4 linked regions of the Stegostoma tigrinum genome follow. The protein of the gene in region 1 binds, or shares a complex with, the protein of each later gene. Links are inferred from orthologs where the notes say so. Each region holds a gene or a part of one and is shown on either strand. Other genes may lie near its edges.

What was found.
Region 2: snrnp200 (region 1) and srrm1 share a complex: the UniProt entries of both Homo sapiens proteins name them as parts of the minor spliceosome. The link is inferred for Stegostoma tigrinum from reciprocal best matches to the Homo sapiens genes SNRNP200 and SRRM1.
Region 3: snrnp200 (region 1) and lsm6 share a complex: the UniProt entries of both Homo sapiens proteins name them as parts of the U4/U6-U5 tri-snRNP complex. The link is inferred for Stegostoma tigrinum from reciprocal best matches to the Homo sapiens genes SNRNP200 and LSM6.
Region 4: the proteins of snrnp200 (region 1) and prpf8 are in contact, whole or in part, in a cryo-EM structure (PDB 7OS2), measured with the Homo sapiens proteins. The link is inferred for Stegostoma tigrinum from reciprocal best matches to the Homo sapiens genes SNRNP200 and PRPF8. Residues at the interface, in NP_054733.2 of Homo sapiens: Pro543, Met544, Arg545, Ser546, Thr570, Gly571, Thr589, Glu591, Lys592, Ile595, Arg624, Arg728, Lys729, Glu773, His786, Ala787, Thr814, Glu837, Tyr992, Thr1008, Ser1010, Ile1012, Leu1041, Glu1042, Arg1043, Val1044, Pro1045, Ile1046, Pro1047, Val1048; in NP_006436.3 of Homo sapiens: Trp2073, Arg2074, Ala2077, Ile2078, Ala2081, His2084, Asn2109, Lys2113, Tyr2168, Glu2171, Met2172, Arg2266, Leu2268, Gly2269, Phe2270, Gln2276, Arg2287, Leu2298, Ala2299, Asn2300, Glu2303, Glu2307, Arg2310, Pro2311, His2313, Phe2314, Leu2315, Asn2316, Phe2317, Ala2318.

The regions. Positions count from the first base shown.
Region 1 is NC_081393.1:10,285,259-10,292,739, reverse strand, and holds the start of snrnp200 (U5 small nuclear ribonucleoprotein 200 kDa helicase), read right to left. Parts: upstream 3,012-7,481; 5' UTR 2,925-3,011; coding exon 2,880-2,924; intron 2,116-2,879; coding exon 1,952-2,115; intron 1,119-1,951; coding exon 947-1,118; intron 121-946; coding exon 1-120. UniProt on the Homo sapiens protein: Catalyzes the ATP-dependent unwinding of U4/U6 RNA duplices, an essential step in the assembly of a catalytically active spliceosome. Plays a role in pre-mRNA splicing as a core component of precatalytic, catalytic and postcatalytic spliceosomal complexes.
Region 2 is NC_081377.1:23,968,492-23,976,073, forward strand, and holds the start of srrm1 (serine/arginine repetitive matrix protein 1), read left to right. Parts: upstream 1-4,573; 5' UTR 4,574-4,640; coding exon 4,641-4,661; intron 4,662-7,582. UniProt on the Homo sapiens protein: Part of pre- and post-splicing multiprotein mRNP complexes. As a component of the minor spliceosome, involved in the splicing of U12-type introns in pre-mRNAs. Involved in numerous pre-mRNA processing events.
Region 3 is NC_081354.1:46,941,636-46,949,161, forward strand, and holds the start of lsm6 (U6 snRNA-associated Sm-like protein LSm6), read left to right. Parts: upstream 1-4,517; 5' UTR 4,518-4,557; coding exon 4,558-4,651; intron 4,652-7,119; coding exon 7,120-7,233; intron 7,234-7,526. UniProt on the Homo sapiens protein: Plays a role in pre-mRNA splicing as component of the U4/U6-U5 tri-snRNP complex that is involved in spliceosome assembly, and as component of the precatalytic spliceosome (spliceosome B complex).
Region 4 is NC_081380.1:24,517,617-24,525,614, reverse strand, and holds the start of prpf8 (pre-mRNA-processing-splicing factor 8), read right to left. Parts: upstream 3,010-7,998; 5' UTR 2,884-3,009; intron 1-2,883. UniProt on the Homo sapiens protein: Plays a role in pre-mRNA splicing as core component of precatalytic, catalytic and postcatalytic spliceosomal complexes, both of the predominant U2-type spliceosome and the minor U12-type spliceosome.

The DNA.
Region 1 (7,481 bases):
GGTATCCTCCAACTGTCCCAGGAGCATTTCTATTTCCTTCCGTCGCTCTTTGTCACGCAGTTTATCATTTTTCAGCACAGCGAGGACCTCATCTGCTGCTCCACAGAGAATATCACGTGGCTAGAAAGAAAAGCCCAATCAATATAGAAAAATTGCCAGCTAATGCAGATGCAATACGTCTCCCTGTAACAATTTATCTTCCTTGTTCAACCTCTAAAGTGATCATTGATGAATTACTGCTCACGCTGTCTATGGCACATGCATCTGTCATATGGAAGTAGGGCAGGCAAATCAGCATGTTAGCTCAGTGGTTAGCACTGCTGCCTCACACTGCCAGAGACCCGGGTTCAATTCCAGCGTTGGGCAACTGTCTGTGTACAATTTGCACATTCTCCCTGTGTCTAACTGGGTTTCCTCCAGGTGCTCCGGTTTCTGCCCAGTCCAAAGATGTGCAGGTTGAGTAGATTGGCTATGCTAAATTTCCCGAAGTGTCCAGGGATGTGCAACTAGGTAGGTTAGCCATGGGAAATGCAAGGTTAAGGGAATGGGATGGATCTCAGTGGGATGCTCTTTGGAGGGGTGGTATGGCCTCGATAAGCTGAATGGCCTACTTCCACACTGGCCGTGGTACAGAACGCCTCAAAGAGCAAGAGTCAAAGAAATCAAAGGAACGGAGTCAATCAACTTTGACTAAGTCTCAGGTACAAATCAGGTTAAAAGTAAAAGAACCTAAAGGAAGACAAATGCATGCAGTGGAAGTGCTGAAACATCAACATCCCAAGAAACAAGCCAAGACAAATGGAAACCATCCCCTTTGCATAAAGTGGCATCCTGTCTGTGATGTAGTAGATCTTAAAATTAGTTAATCATTAAAGAGATCAGTTATGTCCATCACTTTTAGTAGCAGGGGATCTGTCTGGGATATTTTTTCACTGGAGACTCTCACCTGGTCACCAAGTGCAGCCTGAATGAAACTGAGCAACACCTCGTAGGTCTCTCTGGTCTCCTTTGTTTTGGGTTTGTACACAATTCCAACCATTTCATCAATGCCCTCTGACAACAAAGTGTATCCCCTCATTTTGTTCATGTCATGTCGGTCTTCATCACGCTTTCTCCTTCTGCATGAGACAAATTCAAAACATTTTAACAGCCAAGAAATTCAAGTAAGAATTCTCACTTAACCAGAGCACAAATATATATTTGTGCACAAAACCACCAATCTAAAGGATGGGTTGAAAAGTGCCCAATCTGATTACAAATAATCTCCCCTGTGCAGAATAGGAAGCTCCAAACGACTGAAATTTGACATGCTCAACTGCAAACCTCCCTCAACTACTATTACAATGAGTAAAGAAAGCCTTGGCACTTATTCAACATTTCAGTACACCACTGAAAATGATAGACAGGAGCCGGACTGGACTAGTCGCTTTGTGGAGTGACCCTCTCTTTTGCCAATTCCCCACATCCCTCAATTCCCCGAGACACCGAAAACCTGTCTATCCTATGAATGAGTAGATACCTGTTCTGAACCTTCATGGTTCTTTTGAGTTAAGAGCAAGATATAATCTGTGGAATGTAAAGACTAGGATGTGGACTGTTGAGAAACAAATGCTTGTAAATGTTCATAATGTTGCTTACATTAAATAACACCATGCACCAAAGTCATATGTTTCCCACCATGAGGTGGAATGATTATTTTACTATCACCTCAGGTCTAAATTTCTTGTTTAATCTGACACCTTTGCTCATTGTGAAGCATTAAAATTTTTCAGTAAACCAAAATATCAAGTGCTTTGAACTGATTGACCCACCTTGTCTGTTTACCTGCATTTTACCAAAAAACATTTTATCATTCAGGATTAAACTTTTTTAGTTCATAAAGATAGCTTATTAGTATAACTCTGCTCCCAACTCCAAATAAACTGTGATATTTGACAAGATATGTCCTTACTTTGCTCGTCTTTCCTCCTGCAACTGTGGCTTTGTTCTCTGAGCTTTGTCTCCCATTCGCGACCCTTCGAGCTTTCCAACCAGAGACAGCACTTCTCCTGTGGGCTCATCTCGTCTTGTTCGGTCGATCAGTGAACGATCTGCTTGCAATACAAGGTTGGAGTTCTGCAAAAAGAATGAAGAAACTAGTCTTATTCTCATATGGAGCGGTTTGCACAAACCTGTCGGTATTGCAAGATAACAAAATGTGGAGCTGAACGAATACAGCAGGAACTTCTGTGCTCCTAAGATGCTGCTTGGCCTGCTGTGTTCATGCAGCTCCACACTTTGTAATCTTGGGATTCTCCAGCAACTGTGGTTCCCACTATCTCTGTCAGTATTGCACTTGGGTGTAAACCATGCAAAATTTCCAGTCCTTGAGCAAAGTTGGGAATTACACATATTTCCCTGTATCCCTTCCAAAATTACTGATTTTAGAGGATTTTCACGAGAAGTTGAGGGTCGATTGGCATTTCCAAAAAAAACCAGCATTCATTTTTGTCGAGAATCTGATTTCAAAATTGCCCAATACTAATTTTTTGTTGTGGGATGGAACTGGGACATAAATTGTGTACTCATTTAAGACAAAGAATGAAAATAAAAAGCCATTAGAAACAATTCGATAACAATGACAAGGGCTCTAGAGACGTGTTCCTAGGTTGCCTGGAGGTCCCTTCAATTTCCTGATTTCAGCTCAACAGAGATGCCAACCCAGTTCTTATGTCGCATTCACCACAGCAAGGGCTAGGCCTCAACCTGGCGGTGTGCTTAACAGTGGCACTGTACTCGCCCAATTCAGCTCTGGCCATGCAAGCCCGCGCACGACTGTATCCAGCCTGTCTAGGGGATCAAACCGAGGGTTATCGATCCTCAACACCGACAGCACTCACCGCTTTGTACTCATACTGCAGGCTACGAGCAGTAACATCCGCCATTGCTGCTTGGCGATGCCTCCGCCGCCGGATGGCACTCAAACCTGACCTCCGGCCGCCGCGGATTCGCCTTCCGGGTCAAAGCCCAACGGTCTCCATGGGAACGGGAAACCCGCATCGTTTCTCAACGCCAGTTTAATTTTCCCTTTGGCGACAGGTGAGTTCCTGAAACATGGCCAGTATTGTTTACTTTTTATTTATTTGTTTAATTCTGTCGCCACCGTAAACAACGGTTATCTCACCCCCTTGGAAGATAGCAACCGTTGGCTGTCTCCCGCCATTTTCGACACTTTACCCACAATTTCTTTTACCCTTCCCTCCATCTGGGGGGAGTTCGGGCAGTTAAATTGGTCCGATGCTCTTTACTGCGAGGGGCAGAAACCGGGCATCACTGCTTATCCCGCATCAGCTGGAGACTTGGCCAACTGAAGTCAGGACAGGGAAGGTTGAATAGGACGCAATGAGCTTTTTGACACCATCAGAGGGCACCACCTCACCCCAACCTGTCAAACATGAAAATAGATGCCGGCGTTTTCTGTTAGTTCAAGCTGCTAGAGTTATTCATACTGTTTGCTTCCAGGCCAAAAAAAGGCTTTTCAGTGCTGGGTTCGCCGCTTTAATCTCTCTGTTCCCTACTGCACCTCTTAATATCACTTGTCTTCTGGACGAATAATAATCTCTCCAGATCTCCCGACAGCAATTTTCTCCCTTATATTTTCCAGCGATCTCGGCTTCTTTTCTCCTGTAACATGCATAGTCTGCAAGAAAAATTTTGCTCAGTGCAGTCGTTTTGTCTTCATTCTTAAAACCGTAAGACCATTCGAAAGAGGAACAGGGGTAGGCCATTCGGCCCTCGAGTCTGCTGCGCCACTGGATGGGATCATGATTGATCTTACACTCCTCACATCCACTTTCCTGCCCTTTCCCCAAAACCCTCGATACCCCTACTGATCAAGAATGCATTTGAGCCTTAAATATAGGGTTCTATGCAACACTGGTAGTGTCCCTATTCTCTCTGCCCGGAGACCCAAGTTCACGTTCCACCTGCTCCAGTAATAACCTCTCTAACAGGTTGAGTAGAAAATCCCTCCACAAGGACTGCTGTGTGCGGCAAGGAATTCTGAAGATTTGCAACCTTTTGAGAGAAAACATTCTTGCTCAAATCAGTCTTCAGTTGCCATTCCTGTATTCTGAGACTATGCCCTCTAGTCTTTGACATTCTCATGAGAGGAGATGTCGTTGCAGGAATTACCCTGTCAAGCACTTTAAGAATCTGATATGTTTCAATGACATCACCTCTCATTCTTCTAAATTTCAGTGAGTAGCTGTGGAGGCAAAGTCATTGTGTTTCTTTAAGACAGAGATAGATTCTTGATCAGTACAGTGATCAAACGTTATGGGGAGAAGGCAGTAGAATGGATTTGAGAAACGTATCAGCCACAATTGAATGGCAGAGCAGGCACAGTGGGCTAATTCTGCTCCGATAACTTACATAATGGTGCTTCCCCACCACTGGTTCCATATCCCATGAATTTGAACCCGTTTTTCCCATACCAATCTTTGAGTCACATGTATATGACTTTAATCTCATTGATCCTGTGCCAGCGAGTTTTGAGAAGATTTGTAGGTCAGGTTGAGGTTCTGGATGTGAGTTTGCTCGCTGAGCTGGAAGGTTAGTTTTCAGACGTTTCGTCACTTTTTTATTTGAAAAAATATACTTGATTCATAAGATGTACAAAAAATAAAACATATTTACACACCTACCCAGTCATGCAAGCCGCTCCGGGTGACCCAGGGGGTACATACACCAACTAAAGGAAAAAAAAACAAAAGAAAAAATAAAGCAAAGAAAACACCCCAGCAGTCGTCACCCCCGCACAGTCCCCGTTGGCTCCCTGACCAGTTGGGGAAGGCGCCAGCTGGGCCCATTTACCAGATACGGCCCTTTTTTCTATTCTGGATGAGGGGTTTCATACTGTGGTCTTGCCCACCGCGCCTTGGCGGCGGCTGCCCCAAGCTTTAGCGCGTCCCTCAGCACGTAGTCCTGGACCTTGGAGTGCGCCAGTCTGCAACACTCGGTCGGGGTCAGTTCTTTCAGCTGGCAGACTAGCAAGTTGCGGGCAGACCAAAGAGCGTCTTTCACCGCATTGATGGTCCTCCAGGCGCAGTTGATGTTGGTCTCGGTGTGCGTCCCGGGAAACAGCCCGTAGAGCACGGAGTCCCGCGTCACGGAGCTGCTCGGGACAAACCTCGACAAACACCACTGCATCCCCCTCCAGACCTCCTGCGCATAGGCACACTCCAGAAGGAGGTGATCAACAGTCTCGTCTCCCCGGCAGCCACCTCAAGGGCAGCGTGCGGTGGCGCAGAGATTCCGGGCATGCATAAAGGATCTCACTGGCAGAGCCCCTCTCACCGCCAGCCAAGCAATGTCCTTGTGCTTGTTTGAAAGTTCTGGCGATGAGGCATTCTGCCGAACGACTTTAGCAGTCTGCGTGGGGAACCACACGACGGGATCCACCCTCTCCTTTTCCCGAAGGGTCTCGAGGATACTACGTGCTGACCGCTGCCTGACGGCCTTGTGGTCAAAGGTGTTTCTTTCAAAAATTTCTCCACGAAGGACAGGTGGTATGGAATGGTCCAACTACTCGGAGCGTTCCGCGGCAACAAGGCCAGGCCCATCCTTCGCAACACCGGGGACAGGTAGAACCTCAGTAAGTAGTGACACTTGGTGTTTGCGTACTGAGGATCTACGCACAGCTTGATGCAGCCGCACACAAAGGTAGCTGTCAGGGCGAGGGTGGCGTTCGGTACGCCCTTTCCCCCCATTTTCCAGGTCCTTGTACATGGTGTCCCTGCGGACCCGGTCCATCCTCGACCCCCAAATGAAGTGGAAGAAGGCCCGGGTGACTGCAGCGGCGCAGGTCCAGGGAATAGGCCAGGCCTGCGCCACATACAACAGTACCGAAAGCCCCTCGCACCTGACAGCCAGGTTCTTACCCACAATGGAGTGGGACTGGAGCGTCCACCTGCCCAGCTTCTGCTTCAATTTGGTGATACGCTCCTCCCAAGTCTTAGTGCACGCCCCAGCTCCACCAAACCAAACACCCAGCACCTTCAGGTAATCTGTCCTGACGGTGAAGGGGATGAAGGAGCGATCGTCCCAGTTGCTGAAAAAGATGACCTCGCTCTTACCCCTATTGACTTTGGCACCCAAGGCCAGTTCAAACTGGCCGCAGATGTCCAATAGTCTACTCACCGACCAACGATCGGTGCAGAAGACATCGTCCATGTACAGGGAGGTCTTGACCTGAAGGCCTCCGCTGCCTGGGATAGTCACGCCCTTCAGGCTCACGTCCTTCCTGATGGATGCAGCGAAGGGCTCCACACAGCACACGAACAAGGCAGGAGAGAGCGGGCAGCCCTGCCTGACTCCAGATCTAACAGGAAAACTGTCTGATTCCCACCCGTTGATCGAGACTGCGCTAACGATGTTGGCGTAGAGCAGCCGGATCCAATTGCGGATGCCCTCCCCGAACCCCAATTTGGAGAGGACGTCCCTCATGTAAGCATGAGAGACCCTGTCGAAGGCCTTCTCTCGGTCCAGGCTGACGAGGCAGTTGTCCACCCGCCTGTCCTGTACGTAGGTGATCGTATCCCTGATGAGCGCGAGGCTCTCAGCGATCTTCCTGCCTGGCACAGCACAGGTTTGGTCAGGGTGAATCACCGACTCCAGGACAGACCTGACCCGGTTGGCTATGACATTGGCCAGGATTTTGTAGTCCACATTCAATAGTGAAATGGGACGCCAATTTTTAATTTCTTCCCTCTCCCCTTTCTTCTTGTAAACGAGGGTGATGATGCCCTTCCTCATGGACTTGCACATTTCCCCTGCCCGAAGCGCACTATCGTACACCTCCAGCAGGTGCTGGCCGACCAGGTCCCACAGAGTGGAACACAGCTCGACCGGTAAGCCGTCGCTTCCAGGAGTCCTATTCCTCTCCAAGGACTTGAGGGCTCTGGTCAGCTCGTCCAGGGATATCGGCCGGTCCAGCCACTCCCTCGTGCCATGTCTAAGACCTCCGTGAGAGACGACAGGAATGACTCGGAGGCCGTGCTGTCCATGGGCGTCGTGTTGTACAGTCCGGCATAGAAGGATCTGCTGATCCTCAAAATGTCGGGCCGAGACGACGTCACCGAGCCGTCGTCCTCCTTCAGCCGGCTAAGCACAGAGCTCTCTTTGTGCACCTTCTGAAAGAAGAAACGCGAGCATGTGTCGTCCTGCTCCACGGAGCGGACCCTGGACCGGAAGATTATCCTGGAGGCCTCCGCGGCGAAGAGCGAGGCTTGCTGGCCCCTCACCTCGCGGAGGACCTCTGTGACATCGACCCCCATCAACTGCAGAAGGAGCAGGTTCTGCACCCTTTTCTGGAGTCGTGACAGCTTTCCCCGCTCTCTCGCCTTCCGAACACCCTTGAGGACAAAGAACCTCTTGATGTTCTCCTTCACCGTCTCCCACCAGTCGCCCGGAGACTCAAAGAGGGGTTTCACGGTTCTCCA
Region 2 (7,582 bases), on another chromosome or scaffold:
GCATTGTGGGTCAATCTGCAGCATGTGGACTGCAGCAATGGCTTAAGATGATTCGTCTGGTTGTTCATGTTCACTTGTTCAGAATTAAGTGATCTGTTGTGCATAGGTTCCTCAATGCAATAACCAGCTCTGCATTGTAAAGACTCCGCAGTTCATCAAGATGAAATTTGACACTCTGCCATTTCACTGTCATTTTTCACTCACGCCTGTCTCAACTTCTGCTTTCAAAAGATTTTCACAATTGTAAGAGGAATTTGGTGCGACGTGATATTAGTCTTTGTGCTGGACTACTTTCCATGCCTCCTCTAAGCACATTGTCCATTCAAAGATTACCTTGTGCAAGTCTGTGCTGGATTTCTCAATTTCTTCAGTTTTAGATTTGATTCGCTAGAGTGTGGAAACAGGCCCTTCGGCCCAACAAGTCCACACTGACCCTTGAAGCATCCCACCCACACCCAAACCCTAAAACCCACACACCCCTGAACACTATGGGCAATTTAGCATGGCCAATCAACCTAGCCTGCACATCTTTGGACTGTGGGATGAAACTGGAGCACCTGAGGAAACCCATGCAATCACGGGGAGAACATGCAAACTCTACACAGACAGTCGCCCTGGACTGGGATCGAACCCTGGTCCCTGGTGCTGTGAGGCTGCAGTGCTAACTACTGAGCCACCGTGCCACCTATATTCCTTTGGCGATTTTCACTGCTACCTGGCCTTTCCATTTGAGTGGGAACGGCGTAGTGATGTTGTATGGTGTTAAATTGACCTATCCTTTGTGAAGTGCCTGAAGTCTCCCCTTGGAAATTGAGGGCCATTGCCACGTATCACAATATCTGGAATGCTGTAACAACTAAAGAATGCTTTCAGGTATTGTATAATCTTAATATTAGTTGTTAATTTCAGTCAATATAAATCCCAGTAGAGTAATTAATGGTGACAAGATAAAAAGACAAGCCCCTGTGAGAGTGGAGGAGCCTACTACAAGCTTCATCCATGATCAGGCTGGGATGTGATATGACCAGCTTTTGACATCCAGTGATGTTACCATCACTGAATCCCCCATTATCAACTTTGAAGGGGTTACAATTAACCAGAAACTCAACTGGGAATTGCCACATAAAAGCCTGTCCACCATCAACAAGGCACAAGTCAGGAGTGTGATGGAATACTCACCACTTACCTGGATGAGTGCAGCTCTAACAACACTCAAGAAGCTTGACAACATCCAGGGCAAAGCAGCTGCTTGATTGGCACCATTTCAACAAGCTTCCACTCCCTCCACCACCCATGTTCAGCAGCAACAGTGTGTACTGCTTACAAGATGCACAGCAGATTATTCACCAAAGATTGTTAGTCAGCACCTTCCACACCTACTATAATTTTGATCTAGATGAACAAGGGTAGCACCACTTAATGCATGTTCCCCTCCAAGACACTCTCCGTCCTGACTTGGAAATATCTTGGTGTTCATTTAGTGTTCATGTGTCAAAGTTCTGTAATCTCCTCCCTAATGGCATTGTGGGTCAACCTGCAGCATGTGGACTACAGCGGTTCAAGAAGGCAGATCACCACCACCTTCTCAAGGGCAAGTAGGAATGGGCAAGAAAACTGGCCAGCCAGCGATGCCCAATTCATGTGAGTTATTTTTAAAAAAACCATAAAACCATCAGAAATAGGAACAGGGATAGGCCATTTGACTCCTTGAGCCTGGTCTGCCATGCAATCGGATCATGCTGATCCAATATGCCTCACATCCAATTTTGTCCTTTTTCCATGATCCTTGATTCCCTTGGTGATCAAGAATCTATCAACCTCAATCTGAAATATACACAGAACTCTGCCATACAGCTCTCTGTAAAAAAATTCCAAAGAATTTTTGCCCACTTTCTTAACCATCAATATTTCTCTGTAAACTGTTTGTATCCTTTCTGGAATCTGTCTTTCTACCTATTTCCGTGTTGTCTGCAAACTTGGCTGCAGAACATTCACTTACTTCCTCCAAGTCGTTAATATTTATTATGAACAGTTGCAGTCCCAGTACTCATCCTTGTAGAACCCTATGACCGACAGCCATACTAGTATGAAAACACCCAATCTTGTCTGATCTCGGAAGCCAGGCAGACCCAGGCCTGGTTAGTACTTGAATGGGAGAGCACCTGGGAATACCAGGTGCTGTACCCAGATCCTGGGGCAGGTTAGGCAGAGACAAGCACAAGAATTCCTAGAAGTATGGCACTCCAAAAGCCTGCTATTAATAAACACATTGAACTCAACCCCATTTCCATTCCACTACGAAGGAAAAACCAGAAGTGAGGTAATCCATCGCAACGGACCCCAGAGTTTAAAAACTAGGTGGGGAAACACACCGACGCTTAATTGGAGGCTGCACTGAAGATGTTAACCAGCACAGTAATGAAACATCTGCAAAACAAGAAACCAGCTGGGCGAGCCATCCAACCTCAACAACCTCAATTACACACACTCATGTTGCTTCAATCTTGCAGGAAGTTTGTCATGGTTGTCAGCAGCCCTCAATCAAGTGAAGGGTGACAGCCTTCAGTCAGAGGCTACCAAAATAGTAAATCAAGGAAAATCTCCAACACCAGTCCAAGGACATAGCACGGTCAGCCACCTGGAGCAAAGTCAGCATCCTTTCCTCATTGGGGGTAAGCACCTGACTGCTGGCCAGTCCACCACCAGTCTTGACCATTTCTTTTCCATTGTAGACTGTTTTTCTCCTGGAATGAGAGAGAGGCAGGTACTAAGGCAGATGAAGCTGGGTGGCACACTTACATTTTTTACTTGTGGGGAGATGTCCTGGTCGAGGGAGTAGACAGCACCGAGGGCATGCAGGCATAGAGATGCTGGGGTTTAGTGGGATGATAGCGAGTGAGGGAAGATGTTGCAGGCCTTTGTGGGAGGTGGGTACAATAGCTGGGACTGAGCGAGTGTGAGATTTGGAAAGAAGATGGTTGCACTGACTCTGGCAGGCAGGAGAAGGACATTGACTATACATTCCCGCAGACAGCTGATACTGCTTTAACCGGGCGGCAATTTTAACTGGGCGGCAATATTGGACCAGGCTGCTTGTTCTGGGACCATGCTGTCCTCTCCTGGAGAAGTGGAAATACCAGCTTTACATCTCTCTTTCCAATGCAATCTCCCAAGTCTTTGCTTGCAAAGTGAGGGACCGGTTTCCCCTATAACAAATTGTGAAGCTGGATGAACACAGCAGGTCAAGCAGCATCTCAGGAGCACAAAATCTGATGTTTCAGGCCTAGACCCTTCATCAGAGCAAGTCTAGCAGACTCTAGGCCCGAAACATCAGCTTTTGTGCTCCTGAGATGCTGCTTGGCCTGCTGTGTTCATCCAGCTTCACACTTTGTTATCTTGGATTCTCCAGCATCTGCAGTTCCCATTATCACTGGTTTCCGCTTGTCTGTTATGCCAGGGACGAATATCAGGAACTGTGCACACCAGCTCTAGGTGCCTGTCTGGGTGCACAATGGACTTTCGAAGATGGAGTAGGTGCAAGGGATTTTGGTTAATTTCAGGACATCCCATGGGTGGCTGAAACAACATGTGGCATGATGGAAGTGAAATTGAGCACAATTTTTTTCACCGTGTTGGGGGCTGGAGGGGATGATGGTGGTCAATGAGTTGAGTTTGGTAAGATACCCACTATCTTTGTGATGAAAAGCTCTCTAAGAACACATAAAACTCATATTTAGCCAAACAAATTTAAGATTCAGCTCTATATTTCAAATGATGCTGATTCAAATGACTGCCACAGATTGTGTGTAAGGACACTTTCAGTGGAAGTAGTGATCACATGATATTGTCAGCCCACCCTCTACACCAAGGTTACAAATGTATTTCTGCAAAAGGACTTATTTATGAGGATGGCAATGTACCAGCAACATGTGGCCTGTACTATGACGTTCAAGTCCACCCTAAAGTTAAGGTTTGGGCCTCATTCATCTTCATGTGAAAAGCTGATGGCAGCCGCTGTGTCTCCTCATAATGGTCATCCATTTTGGAAGAAGTCTAATTTTGGCTCATTTGCCTCACCAGTTGCAGACCAAAGCCAAGGAGTAAAAGAAAGATGTTTGGGGATTGGGGAGTGGTTATCCATAAAGTGGAATTAGTTGGTCAGGTTCGGTTAGAGATGTTGCGGCCCCGTGTATCGTTTAGACTACACGGGTTAAGTCTCTTGTAAGACGAGTCATTGCAAAGATTTGAAAAAAAATGCATATGCTCCAGAGTGAAATTTGTTATCAAGACTGCTCAAAGACGTATAAATGCGTGACACAAGACTGAAGTGGATCATATTATTAAATGGAAATTTTATGAGATTCAAGCCACTCAGGCAGCACGTGTTTGAATTTAACTTGTTGTTCTGTTGCTACAGTATTTGTGAGTGAGTGCTCAGACAGAACAGCAAATCAACGTCTGGTTCCGTCTCCCGGGCTGCGAGGCTTCGGCTGTTTCCGCAACAGGGGCTGCGAGCGCTCGGCTATTTCCGCCATGCGGCCTGTGCGGCCTCGGCTGTACCCGTGTACCGGAAGCTCCTTGAAGAACGAACGGGTAAACCGGAAGTGGGTGATCCGGCAGCCCCTCCACAGACAGACAAGATGGACGCGGGGTTTTTCCGCGTAAGTAGAGCAGCAACCGAGTAGAGCTTGTTTGTCGAGCCCGATTGGAAAGCTCATCCATTGTAGTGGTGGCCGGAACAATTCAAAGGACCGGCGGACCTGTTCTGGTTGTTTTAAATGCATAAAACTCGGGTCTTTTCCCTGAATACACGTAACTGCGGATTCGGCCTTAGCAACCGAGCGGGAATGAAAATGGCGGCGGGTGGCAGGCTTTTGATGGAGGGGAGGGAGGCAAGGGAGCCGTACTGTGGGTTTGGTTTTTGTCTCTCCAGCTCATCTGTTCGTCTAATTTAATTCATTGCACCTTGAGTGTAGCTAGGGAGCAACATGTCTCATTTTAGTTCTGGACGAAACCCGGGCAATTTTATTTTCCTTGAGGGATCGGTTCTAATGCGGCAGCCAGTGGAGCCGAAGCCCAGCAAAGTGCCTGACCGACTCTTAACACAAATCTTAACTCCGTGGTTCGAATCTTAATCCGGTTCCTCCCTGTTGTTTTTTGGAGCTCTTCTGGCTTTTGCACCGAATGTTTCAAACGGTATTTTTGTTTCTGAGGCGCAATTGAATGACTCCATTAGGGCCTGGTTCTCCAGCATGGTCGCAAATAGAGCGTCGTGTGGTTCGAGGCTGAAAAATGGACCCAAGCTATCTACCACGCGAGGGGAAATACAGTCACCTTTAAACAATCAAAGTACTCGTTCGTTTTAGATATAATAGACATCCAAGCGAATTCATGACTCGATTAATTTCAAAGCAGATATAATCCGAAGTAACACTTCAAATATTTTATTTGGAATTAGAGATAAAATTGCTTTAATGTAGAACAGATTATCGGGTGAGCGAGTTACAGTTTGTGCTGGATTCTAGATTTGTGTTTTTTGTTTAAAAATTCAAACTAGATTCAGTAGTAAAACGTCTTTAACTTGCTGCAGTATTGTATTGTTTCCCTTTATTCTGACCAGAACATTGTATGATTGGAAAGTCCAGATTTGTATGGTACATATCAGACATTTAAGTGTTAATACAAATTGTAAGTAATGAAAATGGAGCAAGTTGCAATTTATTTTTGGAACTGTTTGACACTCAAAAACTTGTTCATCCCTTCAGTGCGTTGCTTTTATCATGCTATCTGACGTTTTGGTTGACAGTTTTTGCTTTTTGGTGACACATAGTAAAAGCTGGTTTCTTCTATTTTGGCCATTTCAGAAAATCTAGTGCTTAGCTTATCATTAATTTGTTGCAAAATAATCTTTTTTAAGAAATGAAAAATAATCACAGAAACAAGTTTGGCAGTAGCAGAGAGTAAATTTATTTCAGATCTATGATCTTTCATCAGAGGTAGGGGGAATGTGATAGGTTTTTTAAAAGTGAAGTGGGGGGAGATTGATGAAAGGCTAGATCTGATAGCCTAATCTATCCCACCTCCTACCCTATTTAATGGGATGTGGGTATTGCTATGAGGCCAACATTTATTTCCCATCTCTCATTTCTCTTGAGCTGAGTGACTTGCTGGGCTGTTTCAGTAGCTAGGAATCAACCACGTTGGCCAGACCAGGTAAGGATGTTGATTTTTAATGGCAATTGATACTTTTATGATTGCCAGTGCTGAAACTAGTTCTGTATTTCAGATTTGAATGCACTTTTGCTGGATACTAACTGATTTTTGGATTACTTTATCCATTAAAATTAATGACAGCACTGTATCTTTTTAAATGACAAAAATGATCTTGCAACAAAACTAATGGGATTGATAACGGAGTAAATAAAAACAAAATGTGCCTTGGGGCGATGTGATTGGTAGGATCATAAAATCCAAAAGAGAGCCAAGATAAATTAGAAACAAACCTGCAAGGGGAAAGAACAGGACCAGAGGTTATGATCTAAAGCCCCTAATTAAAGCATAAGATGATGATCCTTGAGCTAGTCTTGGAATGCATCAGATGACTGACAGTGGCAAAAATCAACGGGAATAATTTGTAGATTTAAAATGATCAGTGACTGGAAGCTTAGGGCCATGTTTTTGGACTGACTGTAGAAAGTTGTGCAAAGGGCCTGCTTGATTTACATTTGGTTTCAGTATGAAAAATTATCCACATTGTCAGTGGAATAATTAATTGAAATTTCAAGTAAATTGATATTTCACCTGGAAGCATTGTTTGGGGGTTTTGAAGATTACAATTGAGTTAGAGAAGGGTAGGTATTTTATTATGCATGAGGGTTGTGGAGGTGACTGAGTAGTAGGTCTCTAAGTTGCAGAGGACATAATCCTTTTCTATTTATTTGTGAGATGTGAGCATCACTGGCTAACCAGATTTATTGACCATCCCTAGTTTCCCTTGTAAAGGAGGTGGTTAGTTGTAGCCTTGAACTGCTGCAGTCGCTTGCTGCGCGTTGACCCACACCACCCTTGGGACAGAATTCCAGGAGTTTGACCCAACAAAAGATATATTTCCAACTCAGGATGGTGAGTGACTTGGGGAACCTGTTGATGTTCCTGTGGGTCTGCTGCCCATTTCCTTCTAAATGGAAGAGGTTGTAAGTTTGGAAAGTACTGTCTGAGGATCTTCAGTGAATTTCTGCACTGCATCTTGTAGATAGTACACATGGCTGCTAATGATTGTCAGTGGTGGAGGGAGTTGATGTTTGTGGATGTGGTGCCAATCAAGTGAACTGCTTGTGTGTTGTCAGAGCTGCGCCCATCAGTCAAAAGGAAAGCATTCCATTACATTCCTGACATGATTTGAGGTGTCTGGCAAGTAACTCACCTCCTTAGAATTCCAAGCTTCTGACCTCCCCTTGTAGCTACTGTTTATGCGGTGACTTCAGTTGAGTTTCTGGTCACTGGTAACCACCCAGATGTTGATAGTGAAGGATTCACAATGTCAAGGGGTGGTGGTTACATTGTTTGTTATTGGCGATGATAA
Region 3 (7,526 bases), on another chromosome or scaffold:
TACATAATGCTTCTCTGGCCGTGACTTTACTCGTTCACTTCAATTGTCCTAATCACGTTGAAGCTTCTCTGCTCACAGGTTGCCTTCCCAGCCATCTTTATGTCCTCTGCAGACTTGGAGATATGATACACAGTTTGCTCCTCCAAAACCATTAATATATATTGTGAATAGTTGAGATACAAACACTGATCCCAGTAGGCATTGGTGCCACTCAGAAAAATTTAATTCCTATTCCTTGTTTCCTGTCTGCCAGTCAGTGCTCAATCTATTTCAGTACACAACCTCAGATCTCATGCACTTTGATTTTACATATTCATGTCTTTTGTGTGGAACCTTGTCAAAAACAATCTAAAAATCCAAGTAAACCCCTTCCAATGGCTCCTCCTCATCCACTCTAGTTAAATCTTCAAAACGTTCCAGCAGATTTGTCACGCACATCTTCCCCTTCATGAAACTGTGCTGACTCTGTCCTCCTTGTCACTTCCAAATGCTGTGCTATTACATCTTTTACAATGGATTCTAATGTTTTTCCCACTACTGATGTCAAGCTAAATGATCTAGAATGTGTGTTTTCTCTGTGCCTCCCTTCTTTAAAATGTGGGTTTCATTAGCTATCCTCTAATCTGTAGGCCAAGCAGCATCTCAGGAGCTCTCTGATGAAGGATCTAGGCCCGAAACGTCAGCTTTTTTGCTTCTGAGACGCTGCTTGGTCTGTTGTGTTCATCCAGCTTCACACTTTGTTATCTTGGACTCTCCAGCATCTGCAGTCCCCATTATCTCTAATCTGTAGGAACTGTTCCAGAGTCTGTAGAATGTTGGAAGATGCACATCTGCTATTTCTGGGGCAACTTCCTTAGTATTCTGGTATGAAGGTTATCAGCCTCCGGGCAGCCACTCCCCGCCCTCACATCCACCCCATATTTGGAATGTTTGTGTTTTCCTTTTCAAAGACAGAACTAAAGTATGTATTTGATTGGTCTGTTTTTTTGTTCCCTTTTTATAAATTCCCTTTGTCAGTCCCTATGTCTCCCTGTATTAGAATTTAAACTCTCTCAATCCTCAGATCTGCTGGGTTTTTTATTTGGCCAATTTGCATGCCTCCCTTTTTGGATTTAATACTAACTCTAATTTCTCCTCTTAGTCAGAAGACATTTCCTGTTTTGTTTTTATACCAGACTGGGATAAATAATCTTTACAGTTCATCCATGAGCTCTTGAAATTTTTGCCATCACCTGCCTGTCATTATCCCTTTTAAATAATAATCCCCAATTTGTCATAGCTAGATCACATCTCATGCCAACATAATTTCCTTAATGAGCTGGGCATTAATAACAACTCCCCTAAATGCAGTACAACATCAAAGTATTGGCCTATTTAATGTGTTAAGGAGACTGGTATGGGGCTAGAACCTGTCATTTTCTGATTGAAGTGAAAGTGCAGTTGCAAAATTGTCGAATTGTATAGTGCAGAAGTCCTTTGACCCATCAGATGTGCATCTACCCATGAGAAGGACCTGACCTTCATTCTGATTCCAATTATCAGCACTTGGCTCATAGCCTTGAATGCAGTAATGTTCCAAGAACATATCTAGGTACTTTTTAAAGGATGTGAGACAATTTGCCTCTGCCAACCTGCTTGGCAGCACATTCCAGACCACCGTCATTCCCTGGGTTTAAAAAAACGAGGTTTTCCTTCCATCTCCTGTAGCCTCTTGCCCCTTACCTTGAACCTGTGCGTCCTCTCGGCTAACCGTTTAACTGAGTGCAACAGCTGCTCCTTATCCATTCTGTCCATGCCCCTTAGTTTTGTACACTTCAGTCAGAAGACCCCTCAATCTTACGCCCCAATTAAAAAAAACCAAGCCTATCCAGCCTTTCCTCAAACTTAAATTTCCCATCCCAGGCAGCATCCTGGTGAATCTCTGCTGCGCACTCTCCAGTTCCTATAACGTGGTGACCAGAACTGCATGCAATGTTCTACCTGTGTCTCACCAAAGTTCTTTACAACTCCAACATGACTTCCTTGCTTTTGTATTTTATGCCTCGATTGATAAAGGCAAGTGTCCTGTATGTCTTTTTCGCCACTTTACAGACATGTCCTTGGGTCTTCAGTGGATAAATACTCCAAGGTCCCTTTGTCCACAGAACTTCCTGGTGTCATTCTGATGATTGAATACTTCTTTGTCAGATTACACCTTTCAGATCGTATTAACTCATGCTTTTCATGGTTAAGTTCCACCTGCCATTTATCTGCCCATTTGAGTATCCTGTTTATATGCTTTTATCACTCAAGACACTCAAGCTCACTGTTAGGCATCTGACCCATCTTTGAATTTTCCGCAAACTTACTAAACCAAACCCCCGCACAATCATCTAGTCATTTATGTAAACGGCAAATAAAAGAGGACCCAGCACACCTGCCTGTGGTATGCCATTGGTTACTGACTTCGATTCACTAAAGCAGCCTTCTACATTCACCCTCTGTCTGTCGCAACTGAGTAAAGTTTTAATCCACTTTATCAGATTACCCTGTATCCTGTGTGCATTTGCCTTCATGATAGGTCTCCCGTGTGGGACCTTGTCAAAGGCTTTGCTGAAATCCATATAAACTGCAGCAACTGCACCACCCTTTTCTATACACTGGTCACCACATCAAAAAATTCAATCAAATTTGTTAGCATGATCTCCCTCTGCCAAAGCTATGCTGACCATCTCTGATCAAACCTTTCCTCTCCAAGTGGAGGTAGATGCTCTCCTTCAGGGTTCTTTGGCTTATTTCTGCAACCTTCCTTAAATATCAGAACCACGTTAGTCCTCTGGTACCTCACCTGGAGCCAGAGAGGAATTAAAAATTTGGGTCAGTGGCATTGCAATCTCCTCCTTGTCCTCCTACAACAGCCAAGGACACAATTTCATTTTTTCCTTTATTCATTCATGGGATGAGGGTGTGGCTGGCTTGGCAGCATTTATTGCCCATCCCTAATTGCCAAGAGGGCAATTAAAAGTCAACCACATTGCTACAGACCTGGAGTCACATGTAGGCCAGACTAGCTAATGAAGGTGGTTTCCTTCTCTAGAGGACATTAGTGAACCAGATGGGTTTTTCCAACAATGACATTTGATCCATGGTCATCATTAGACTCTTAATTCCAGATACTTATTAAATTCAAATGCTACCATTGGCCATGGTGGAATTCAAATCCAGGTCCCCAGAACATTATCTGGGTCTCTGGATTAACAGTCCAGCGATAATACCAGTAGGCCTTTTTGTTTGGACCCAGAGATTTGTTCATCTTTAAGCCTGCCAGCACCTCCAAAACCTTGTCCTTCCCTATGGCAATTTGCTCAAGCACCTCGCAGTCTCTTTCCCCCAGGGTTCTATATCTTCATCTTCATTTTCTTAAGTGAAGATAGATGATATTGGGTCACGACTTTACCTTTGTCCTCTGGCCCCAGCCACAAATTGCCCACTTGTTCCCTAATGGGGCCTGCTCTCACCGTGGTTACACTCTTTCCCCCTTGATGTATTTATACTTGTAGAATATCTCTTGGTGTTTTCCCTACTTTTACCATATCCCCTTTTGCTTTCCTAATTGCCATTAATCTCCATTAATGCCTCTGCTTGTGCCTGCCTCTTTTCTCCCTTCTTATCGTATCCTGAATATCTCTGATCATCCATGGTTCTCTGGGCTTGTTATTCTTTCCCGTATCCCTGGAGGGAACATGTTAGGCTTGTACCCTCTCCATTTACTTTTTGAATGTTCCCCACTGTTCTTCTGTAGTTTTCCTCACTAGTCTACCAGATCCTAATGTATTTTACTAAAATCTGCCCTTTGCCTCCATCCAAAACTCTTTTTTTCTTGCAAGTTACCTATTTCTTTTTCTATATTCAGCTTAAATTATACCATGTTGTGATTGCTATCACTAAAATGCTCCCTCACCACCACCAGAATTGGGACCAGGACCCTCTGTATATTGGCCTAAAAGGTTCTCCTGTACATATTTCAAGAAATTCACTCAATCCAAGCACTTAACATTATGTCTATCCCAGGTAATGTTGGGAAAGTTGAAATCACATGTTATAATTATCCTTAGTTGTTATTTTTACACACATCAACAAATGGTGCAAAAATTTGCTCCTCAATTTCCTGTCAGCTCTCTGGGAGTCTACAATAAACACTTAGCAATCCAGCTGTCCCTTTTTTATTCCTAAACTCTACCTACAAAACTTCATCCACAATTTAAATAACAAATTATATTGAAGTTCTCTTTCTTTCCTGGAAGTATCCAGCTTTTACTCTGCAATTAATTTAAATTACTAAATTTAAATTGATGCTTTTGGAGATAAAGAAAGAATTTTCTGCTAATACTAGCCACTGCCTTTTTGCTTGTCATTCACTCATCCTCTTTCTCACTAGTGCTCTCAACTGATGATAACAGTTTGTTATAATTGTAGAAGCCCATGTCAGTTCTTTGCAAAGTTGGTTCTGAATTATGTGTGCTTGTATTGTCATTTAGGAAATGTTTCTGTTCTGATGCAGGCTGAAGGATTAAAAAAATGAGCCTGCGAAAGCAAACACCAAGTGATTTTCTAAAACAGATCATCGGGAGACCAGTGGTAGTCAAACTGAACTCGGGCGTGGATTATCGAGGTACGGTAAGCCCTCACTTAAAATTGTATTTGAATTCCTGAAAATTTCAACTTCAAGTGAAATAACTGAGTGAACCATGAGTTGCCATAGGGATCAGGTTTAAAACTACTGTTGGGACCTTTTGGACATTCGTTCCTGGACAAACCAAATGAACAAGTCAAAATAGCATTTTTCACATGTGCAACACTGCATTCCTATTGAAATAATTTGCAAAACAGAACAAGTCATTTGAAATGTTAAAGAAATTCTATATAAATTGAAGAGGGCTATGCAATAAGAGCCAGACGTGAGAATACATGTGGTTGGATAGCTGCTTCAAAAGCCAGCACCAAAGTGATAGGCCGAATAACTTTCTTTTGTGGTGTAAAATTTTGATTAGTCCATGATTCAAGAGAAGTTAAAGGAAGGTCCCTAATCCTAGTCCACTATCCCTTAATCTAACTTCCTCAGGTAGTCTTATTGTATTTTCTTCTGTAAGCTTCTGGAACCTTTTCCCCTTCCCACCTCGTATAGTGCTTCCAGTCTTACAGTGAAGTGCATTTTTAAAAAAAATCACAGAATGCTGTATTTTCATTTTTGCATTTTTTAATCTCCTCCATATTTAGTGTGTAGTTGCCCTGATGATTTTCTTTCTGTCATTATTAGCTCTTAGGACAAAACATTTAATCCTGTACCATGGATATAAGCCCTACAGTCCCTTCAAATGAATTTCCAGTCTTCTTTGCCTGAATTTCAATAGATTGTCATAATATAAAAATTCACTTGTAACCTAATTCACAGCTATGATGTTCAACTTCAGTGTTGCACGTTTCTGTTGGCAAGTGCGTTCACAAACTTGGTAAAATCAGAAGTCATGCCGTAAATTGATTAGGGAAACAGGCCTTGAAGAATAAATATCTTTAAAACAAAACAATGCGAAACAAAACCACTTAAAGTGAGGACTTACTGTATTGGAATCGTCCCCCTCAGCTGCTTAAACGCTAGTTTAAAAAAGACCGGGTCACAAAATCACCGAAGACTTTTTGGCAAAGAAGGAGGCCTTCTATCTGCACTGTTAAATGAGCATCATTACCCAGAGCTGATTTCCTGCTTTCCCCCCAAGCCCTTGCATATAATTTCAGCTGGTGAGTTCATGAATGCCTCAATGGAACCTAATTCCACCACAATTCTAGGCAGTAAATTCCATACCCTAACTGAAGGAAGGTAATTTTCCTCACTTCACCCTTGCTTACTTTGCACTCTAGATCACTTCATATCTATGTTCTTGAAACAAATAAGAACAGTTTCTCGCTGTCACTCTCCTGTCTAGCCCTTACATGATCTTGAAAACCTCTATCAGATCTACGCTTAGCCTTTTACAAATCGCTTCAGCAATTTGTTCAATGTGTTCACATCTTTCCGATAACATGGCACCCACAACTGTACCCAGTACTCTAGCAGAGGTCTAACAAGTGTCTATATAAGTTCAGCATCACCTCCTTGCTCTTGCACTCCACTAATTAATCTGTGGCTACTGTATGCTTTATTTATTGCTCTCCCTTTATCTGTCCTGCCACTTTCAAAGATCTGTGCACATACACACCCAGGTCCCTATGCTCTTGCATCCTCCATAGTGTGCCTACTATTTAATATTGGCTTTCAATGTTCTTCCTACCAAAGTGTTTCAACCTGCACTTCTCTGCATTGAAATGCATCTACTGCCCATGTGCCCACTCCACCAACCTTTTCCGCACTATATATCTTTTGCAAGCTTTGAAATTGCCCCTGCACATCAAGATCCAGATAATTAATATCTATCAGGAGAAGCAAGGGCCCCAATACTGACCCCTGGGGATCTCCTCTTAAAAACCTTTGCCCAGTCTAAAAATATATTACTCTATTCATTTTGCTAGTGACCCTTTTATAACATGAGCTATAACTTTCCTCACAGGTCTGTGTTGTGGCACTGTACCAAACACCTTTTCAATATCCGTGTGCACCACCTCAACAATGTTATCTTCTTCAAGCATTTTTGTTTCCTGTTCAGAAAGCTCCAAGTTAGTTTAACACCATTTTCCACTTTAGGAAGAATCAGTGTGGATTTCTAATCAACCCGCCATTTTCCATGTGTTTATTAATTCTATCCTGAATAATTGTCTCAAAACTTCCCCAATGCTGAAATTAACCTGATTAGTCTGTAATGATTGGCTTATCCTTGGCATCTCCTCCAAGACCAGGGGAGACTGAAAGATTGTGGCCAGTACCCCTGCAATTTCCACGCTCATTATATAAATGATGAAAAGTAATGGACCCAACGTTGACCCTTGTGGCACACCACTGGCCACAGGCCCCCAGTCTGAAAAGCAACTGTACATCACCACCCATGATCTTCTACCTTGGAGCCAGTTCTGCATCATTGCTATGTTACACCGAACATTCTAATAATGGGTTTTAATAAATTTTAATTACAGTTGTATCATTTTTGCCAGGTGTTTTGGCCTGTCTGGATGGTTATATGAATATAGCATTGGAACAAACAGAAGAATATGTAAATGGTCAACTTAAGAACAAGTATGGAGATGCATTTATTCGAGGCAACAATGGTAAATTCACTTCTTTCCTTTCTAAATAAAATTTGAAAGTTATGCTTTATAATGGACTGTAAAACTACAACTGTATATTGAGAAAGTTTTTGAAAAAAAGCATTCTTCCCAGGACTGATTAGTTGCTTGCATGACTCTTTTGTGCTTTCTGTCTGACACTGTTTCTTTCAGTATTTTGTTTCTGTATCATTTTCTGTCTCTTTCCTGAAGAAAACCATGCTGTTTGTTTTAAAACACACTAAATCCTTGATGCCCATGAGGAATAGAGCGTGGACCTCCCACAGATACCCAAA
Region 4 (7,998 bases), on another chromosome or scaffold:
TAAACCGGCTCTGATTACATATAAATACGGTCACATATATTGACATCCAAATCTCATATTCACACAACTTGAGCTGCAATCCACAACAGTAGATCAGAGGATTGAAAAAAATTTTCCATTTTTAGCAGATGCTTTTGATCCATAACATTTCACCCAGATAAATACATTTAGTATGCTAAACGTTTTGCCCTATTATCTTAATGCATACCCGTGGATGTACATGCAATAAACTGCTTTAATAAAGCATTCAACATCTGTATATTCAATTGTTTGCACTTGAAACATCCATTTTGAGACTTTCTTTGAATGTTTTTGAATATACAAATTGGGAGTCAGACTTTTAGATAATATTTTGTAAAAATAAAATCAACATTTCTCATGGAACACTGATGTTCAAGTTACTATGTCAGCTTCAGTTGCTCAGATTTTGAAATGAGCCAAAAGATTAAGGAATTGCCTTTCAAAATGGAACATGAATTCATAATCCCATATGACAGTCATGTCGAACAAAGCATAAAAACCTGGAGCAAACATCATGCTCCCTTGCATAGCTTGAACTGATACACGCAACTCTTTTGGTGCTCTCAGCAAGAGACTTCTCTTGACCAATCCCAAAAAAAAGTTTATTTTTCTCATTGTGTTGTTTTAGATTTTGGTACAGAATGGCTGATGCATTTATTAATGTACACATGCTCTCTGAAATGATAGATAAAACTAATGAAGTCAGATTATTTTAAACAACACCATGCAAACCTTAACCATATTACAAAACCCAAGCTTCTCTAAAAATACTGCCTGGCCAAGTGACAGCATTTCAGTAATCTTCGATTCCCAGAATCAGCAACTTCTATACCAAACATGACCTGCATCAAATTTTGATGTCAACACACACCAACTCCCTAAGGACCAAGCACGTTTTTGGGCAACAGTCGTAATATTTCAGAACTCTGCAGCAAGTGGAAAATCTTGTCTATGGCTATTCAGTAGCTCAACCTTTGGAAGAAAATGGAACATCCAGGATTTTGACAAGATTGTCTAGCATTATAGAACATAGAACATAGAACAGTACAGCACAGAACAGGCCCTTCAGCCCACGATGTTGTGCTGACTTCTTGGAGAAGTTATGATAAACAAGTTACATTTCCAAATAAACAGATAACAAGGTATAGAGCGGGATGAACACAGCAGGCCAAACAGCATCATAGGAGCACGAAAGCTGACGTCTCGGGCCCAGACCCCACATACCAAAACCAACATGTGTGACCATCTGACTGAGATCCAGATCATTACCCTCTAGGTCATAATCTTGGAACTGCCTTTCTACCAGCACTGAAGGTATCCCTATACCCAATGACTGCAGCAATTCATAAAGGCAGCTCAACTCCACCTTCTCCAGATCAATTAGTGATGGACAATAAAAATGCTAGCCTAGTCAGCAACACCTAAACCCCATCAATTACATTTAAAAATGTACACTTGAAAGTGGGATTTAAATCTATGCCTAAAATGTTATTAAGTTTTACAATCATAAAATACAGGAGGAGGCAATCCATGCAATTGTTTGAGAGAGCTGGGTATAGATTGTGACAAAAGATCAGCCTGACATATAACTTTTTGTAATCATTATGCTGCCTAACCCATTGCCAGCATCCACAGAAGTTTTTTGTACCAATGAGTCCCACTTGCTCCCAAAATTCTTCTTTTTCTCCTCTCCCTTATTAAGATTCCCTTTGAGATACAGGCTCAAATTTGCCTGCATCCTCCTTGTGAATAGTCTTACAGATTATGCTACATTGGTCTAAAATATATTTAGCAAGAAATATGTGCAGTATTAATCCTGTTGAATAATAAACTATGCAAACAGATCACGTTATGCTCTTCTGGAGTGAACGCTGGGGTTGATGGAAGAGAAGTTAGTGGACAAAGGGGAAGAAAATTTACACTTCCGTTGAATGGTAGAACCTAAGGAAATACCCAGGATCACGGGAACCTTGGTATGCAAGTCCATATATTCATGTAGGCAGCAGGTCAGATGTTATGAATGATATCAGGTATGTATCTTTATTATTCAAAGTATTGAATACAACAGGAAGGTGGCTATAATGGAGTCATACATATATATATTAGTAAATTATTATACATATTAACCAGAATATTTGAGAAACCCCTCAGCTATGAAGATAGACTAGATAGGCAGGAGTTGTTTTCCTTATAGCAGCGAAGGCTGATTGGGGAACCGTGATCGCGGTGTATGAAAGTTGAGGGACGTAGGGAGAAACACAAGCCCTTAATAGAGACATCAATAACTAGGGGGCACAGATTCAAGTTAAGGATCTGGAGGCTGAAAGGGAATTTAAGGAAAAAGTTTCATCCGCCCAGAGTGTGATGGGTACCTGGAAGGCACTGGCTAAATGATGGTCGAGGCAGGAACCATCAAGACATTCAAGAAGCATTTAGTCGAGCATTTGAAACGCCATCGCACACAAGGCTACGGGCCAAATGCTGGAAAACAGGATTGCAGTGAATAGATAATGAAATGTGAGGCTGGATGAACACAGCAGGCCCAGCAGCATCTCAGGAGCACAAAAGCTGACGTTTCGGGCCTAGACCCTTCATCCTAGACGTGGGATGCACAGACACGAACAGCCCTTCTTCCGTGCTATTAAAAAGAAAACCCTACGATTTCTCCTGGAAGGTTCCAGTCCAGCGAGTCCATATTTGAGGTGTCCTGGACCGATTCCTCCCTCGCCTGCCGAGCGCCACAATAGAAACCCATTAGGCCGCACGCCGAGCCGAGTCCCTGGGGCTCAACCTCCACTCACTTCCAGCCTAAATCCCGACCCATATGCCCAGAGCGCACAGAAATGCCTACGCTGAACGCACCTGCGACGACAGGAAAAAATGCGAGCGACGATTTTTTTTTCTCCCCGTTGGCCTTGCGTTAGGCCTCAGGGCCTCGGCGCCATTAACTCCGCCAGCAAAAGTGGCTCCAGCGCAGGGTGCCCGGATGCTGAGGGCGGGATTTCCGCTGTCCGTGTGAGCCTCCCATTGGTCAGTCAGTCGGATTGATGACCGCTACAGCCACTCAGAACACAGAACTCTCCAGGTAGACTTTTGAAAACAAGTGCATTGAAAGAAGATTAAATCAGACTTTACAGTGAAGTGCACAATGATTGTGCTACCACCTGAAAATAGGAAAAAGAGTTTAAAAAAAAGCTGGATTCCGTGTCAACTGTTTCAATTAAGAAACATCAGTGCACAACCAAGGCAATGTTGAACATTTATCTTAACAAAAAATGTCTCAGATACTATACAGGGGTGTATTGGACACTCAGTTCAAACATGAATACATGATAGGAACAGGAGGTGCGACCAAAAGCTTAGGGAGATGATAAAAATAGATCTTGAAGGAACTAGGAAAAGCAAAGAGATTAAAATCGGAAATTCCAGAGTGCAGTAGCAGGTTGGCTGAAAGTTCTAAGTAAGGGTCACTGGACCCTAAACATTAACCCTATTTTCTCCTTCACAGATGGTGCCAGGCCTGCTGAGCTTTTCCAGCAACTTTGTTTTTGTGGATGAAAGCAGAGCTACCTTGCTGCAGCTAAGAGTGGAGGAATACACAAAAGATCAGAATTAAAGGAATGGCGATGTTGAAGGGAATTGTAGGATTGGAAAAGTTTACGGAAATCAAGATGGACAAGGGATTGATTGGAATTTTAAATTGGATGCATTAATGCGCATACAGTAAATTACATTGAATTTTGATAAGGTCCCATAAGAGCTTAGCTTGTAGAATTAAAGCACATTGGATAGGGGGTAGTGTACTGTGGTAGTGTTTGGCTGACAGGAAACAAGATAACAAAGTGTGTAGCTGGATGAACACAGCAGGCCAAGCAGTATCTCAGGAGCACAAAAGCTGACATTTCGGGCCTAGACCCTTCATCAGACAGGGGGACGGGAGAGGGTTCTGAACTAAATAGGGAGAGAGGGGGAGGCCGACCGAAGATGGATAGAGGAGAAAATAGGTGGAGAGGAGAGAATAGGTGGTGAGGTGGGGAGGGGATAGGTCAGTCCAGGGAGGACAGACAGGTCAAGGAGGCGGGATGAGATTGGTAGGTGGGAAATGGAGGTGCAGCTTGAGGTGGGAGGAGGGGATACGTGAGTGGAAGAACAGGTTAGGGAGGTGGGGACGAGCTGGGCTGGTTTTGTGATGCAGTGGGGGGAGGGGACGAGCTGGGCTGGTTGTGGGATGCATTTGGGGAGGGGGAGATTTTGAAGCTTGTGAAGTCCACAGTGATACCATTGGGCTGCAGGATTCCCAAGCGGAATATGAGTTGCTGTTCCTGCAACCTTCGAGTGGCATCATTGTGGCACTGTCGTCTAAGGAATGGGAGGAGGAGTTAAAATGGTTCGCGACTGGGAGGTGTAGTTGTTTATTGCGAACCGAGCAGAGGCATTCTGCAAAGCAGTCCCCCAAGCCTCCGCTTGGTTTCCCCAATGTAGAGGAAGCCACACCGGGTACAGTGGATACAGTATACCACATTGGCAGATGTGCAGGTGAACATCTCCTTAATATGGAAAGTCACCTTGGGGCCTGGGATGGGGGTGAGGGAGGAGGTGTGGGGGCAAGTGTAGCACTTCCTGCGGTTGCAGGGGAAGGTGCCGGCAGTGGCAGAGAAACATGGGCCTTTTTCCAAGTGGAAGGCAATTACTAATGAGCTACCACAGGATCCTGTGCTGGGACCTCAACTATTCACAATGTAAAGGAATGAGGAATCTACATATAATGTCTTCAGATTTATACAGGACACAAAGCTGAATTGGGGAGTGAAATGTGAGGAGAATGCAGAAATACTCCAATGTGATTTGGACAAGTTGAGTGAATGGGCAAATGCATAACAGATTAAGTATAATGTGGATAAATGTGAAGTTATTAACTTTGGTAGCAAAACTAGGAAGGCAGATTATGATCCAAATAACAATAGATAGAACATTGAACATGACAGTGCAGTACAGGCCCTTTGGCCCTCAATGTTGTGCCAACCTGTGAAACCAATCTGAAGACCATCTAACCTACACTATTCCATTATCATCCATATCAATCCCATTCCGGGATTATGATGTTTCAGTAAGAACAGAGAAGATGGTAAAAGGGGGGGGAGGTGTGGCATTGTTGATCAAGGACAGTATTACAGTTGCAGAAAGGATGTTTGGGGACTCGTCAACTGAGGTAGTATGGGCTGAGGTTAGAAACAGGAAAGGAGAGGTCACCCTGTTGGGAGTTTTCTACAGGCCTCCGAATAGTTCCAGATATGTAGAGGAAAGGATAGCAAAGATGATTCTCAATAGGAGTGAGAGAGACAGGGTAGTTTTCATGGGGGACTTCAACTTCCCAAATATTGACTGGGAACACTATAGTTCGAGTACTATAAACGGGTCAGTTTTTGTCCAGTGTGTGCAGTAGGGCTTCCTGACACAGTATGTAGATAGGCCTTCAAGGGGCGAAGCCACATTTGATTTGGTACTGGGAGTAGGTGAGCACTTTGGTGATAGCGATCACAATTCTGTTATGTTTACTTTAGTGATGGAAAGGGATAGGTGTATACCACTGGGCAAGAGTTATAGCTGGGGGAAAGGCAATTGCAATGAGATAAGGCAAGATTTAGGGAGCAGAGGATGGGGAAGGAAACTGCAGGGGGTGGGCACATTAGAAATGTGGAGCCTATTCAAGGAATAGCTCCTGTGTGTCCTAGATAAGTATGTACCTGTCAGGCAGGGAGGAAGCTGTAGAGTGTGGGAGCTGTGGTTTACGAAGGAAGTGGAATCTCTGGTCAAGAGGAAGAAGAAGGCTTATGTTAGGATGAGATGTGAAGGCTCAGTTAGGGCGCTTGAGGGCTACGAGGTAGCCAGGAAAGACCGAAAGAGAGAGCTCAGAATAGCCAGGAGGAGACATGAGACGTTGTTGGCGGATAGGATCAGGGAAAACCCTAAGGCTTTCTATAGGTATTTAAAGAATAAAAGAATGACGAAAGTAAGATTAGGGCCAATCAAGGATAGTAGTAGTAAGTTGTGTGTGGAGTCAGAGGAGATAGGGGAAACACGAAATAAATATTTTTCGACAGTATTCCCTCTAGAAAACGACAATGTTGTTGAGGATAATACTGAGATACAGGCTACAAGACAAGGTGGGATTGAGGTTCACAAGGAAGAGGTATTAGAAATCCTACAGAGTGTGAAGATAGATAAGTCTCCTGGGCCGGATGGGATTTATCCTAGGATCCTCTGGGAGGCCAGGGAGGAGATTGCCGAGCCTTTGGCATTGATCTTTAACTCGTCGTTGTCTACAGGAATACTGCCAGACGACTGGAGGATAGCAAATGTGGTTCCCCTGTTCAAGAAGGGGAGCAGAGACAATGCTGGTAATTATAGACCAGTGAGCCTTACCTCAGTTATTGGTAAAGTGTTGGAAAAGGTTATAAGAGATAGGATTTATAATCATCTAGAAAAGAATAAATTGATTAGGGATAGTCAGCACCGTTTTGTGAAGGGTAGGTCGTGCCTCACAAACCTTATTGAGTTCTTTGAGAAGGTGACCAGACAGGTAGATGAGATTGAACTGGTTGATGTGGTGTATATGGATTTCAGCAAGGCATTCGATAAGGTTCCCCACAGTAGGCTATTGAACAAAATGCGGATGAATGGGATTGTGGGAGATATAGCAGTTTGGATCGGAAATTGGCTTGCTGAAAGAAGACAGAGGGTGGTAGTTGATGGGAAATGTTCATCCTGGAGACCAGTTACTAGTTGTGTACCGCAAGGGTCGGTGTTGGGTCCACTGCTGTTTGTCATTTTTATAAATGACCTGGATGAGGGCGTGGAAGGATGGGTTCGTAAATTTGCAGACGACACTAAGGTCGGTGGAGTTGTGGATAGTGACGAAGAACGCTGTAGGTTGCAGAGAGACATAGATAAGCTGCAGAGCTGGGCTGAGAGGTGGTAAGTGGAGTTTAATGCAGACAAGTGTGAGGTGATGCACTTTGGTAGGAGTAACCGGAAGGCAAAGTACTGGGCTAATGGTAAGATTCTTGGTAGTGTAGATTAGCAGAGAGATCTCGGTGTCCATGTACACAGATCCTTCAAAGTTGCCACCCAGGTTGACAGGGCTGTTAAGAGGGCATACAGTGTTTTAGCTTTTATTAATAGAGGGGTCGAGTTCCGGAACCAAGAGGTTATGCTGCAGCTGTACAAAATTCTGGGTGCGGCCACACTTGGAGTATTGTGTACAGTTCTGGTCACCGCATTATAAGAAGGATGTGGAAGCTTTGGAAAGGGTGCAGAGGAGATTTACTAGGATGTTGCCTGGTATGGTGAGAAGGTCTTACGAGGAAAGGCTGATGGACTTGAGGCTGTTTTCGTTAGAGAGAAGAAGGTTGAGAGGTGACTCAATTGAAACATATAAAATAAGCAGAGGGTTAGATAGGGTGGATAGGGAGAGCCCTTTTCCTAGGGTGGTGACGGCGAGCACGAGGGGGCATAGCTTTAAATTGAGGGGTGAAAGATATAGGTCAGATGTCAGAGGTCGTTTCTTTACTCAGAGAGTAGTAAGGGACTGAAACACTTTGCCTGCAACGCTAGTAGATTTGCCAACTTAAGTACATTTAAGTCATCATTGGACAAGCATATGGACGTACATGGAATAGTACAGGTTAGATGGGCTTCAGATTGGTATGACAGGTCGGCACAACATCGAGGGCTGAAGGGCCTGTACTGTGCTGTAATGTTCTATGTTCTATATGTTTATCCAATGACCATTTAAATGCCCTTAAAGTTGGCGAGTCTACTACTGTTGCAGGCAGAGTATTCCACACCCCTACTACTCTCTGAGTAAAGAACCTACCTCTGACATCTGTCCTATATCTATCACCCCTCAATTTAAAGCTATGTCCCCTTGTGCTAGACATCACCATCCTAGGAAAAAGGCTCTCATTGTCCACACTA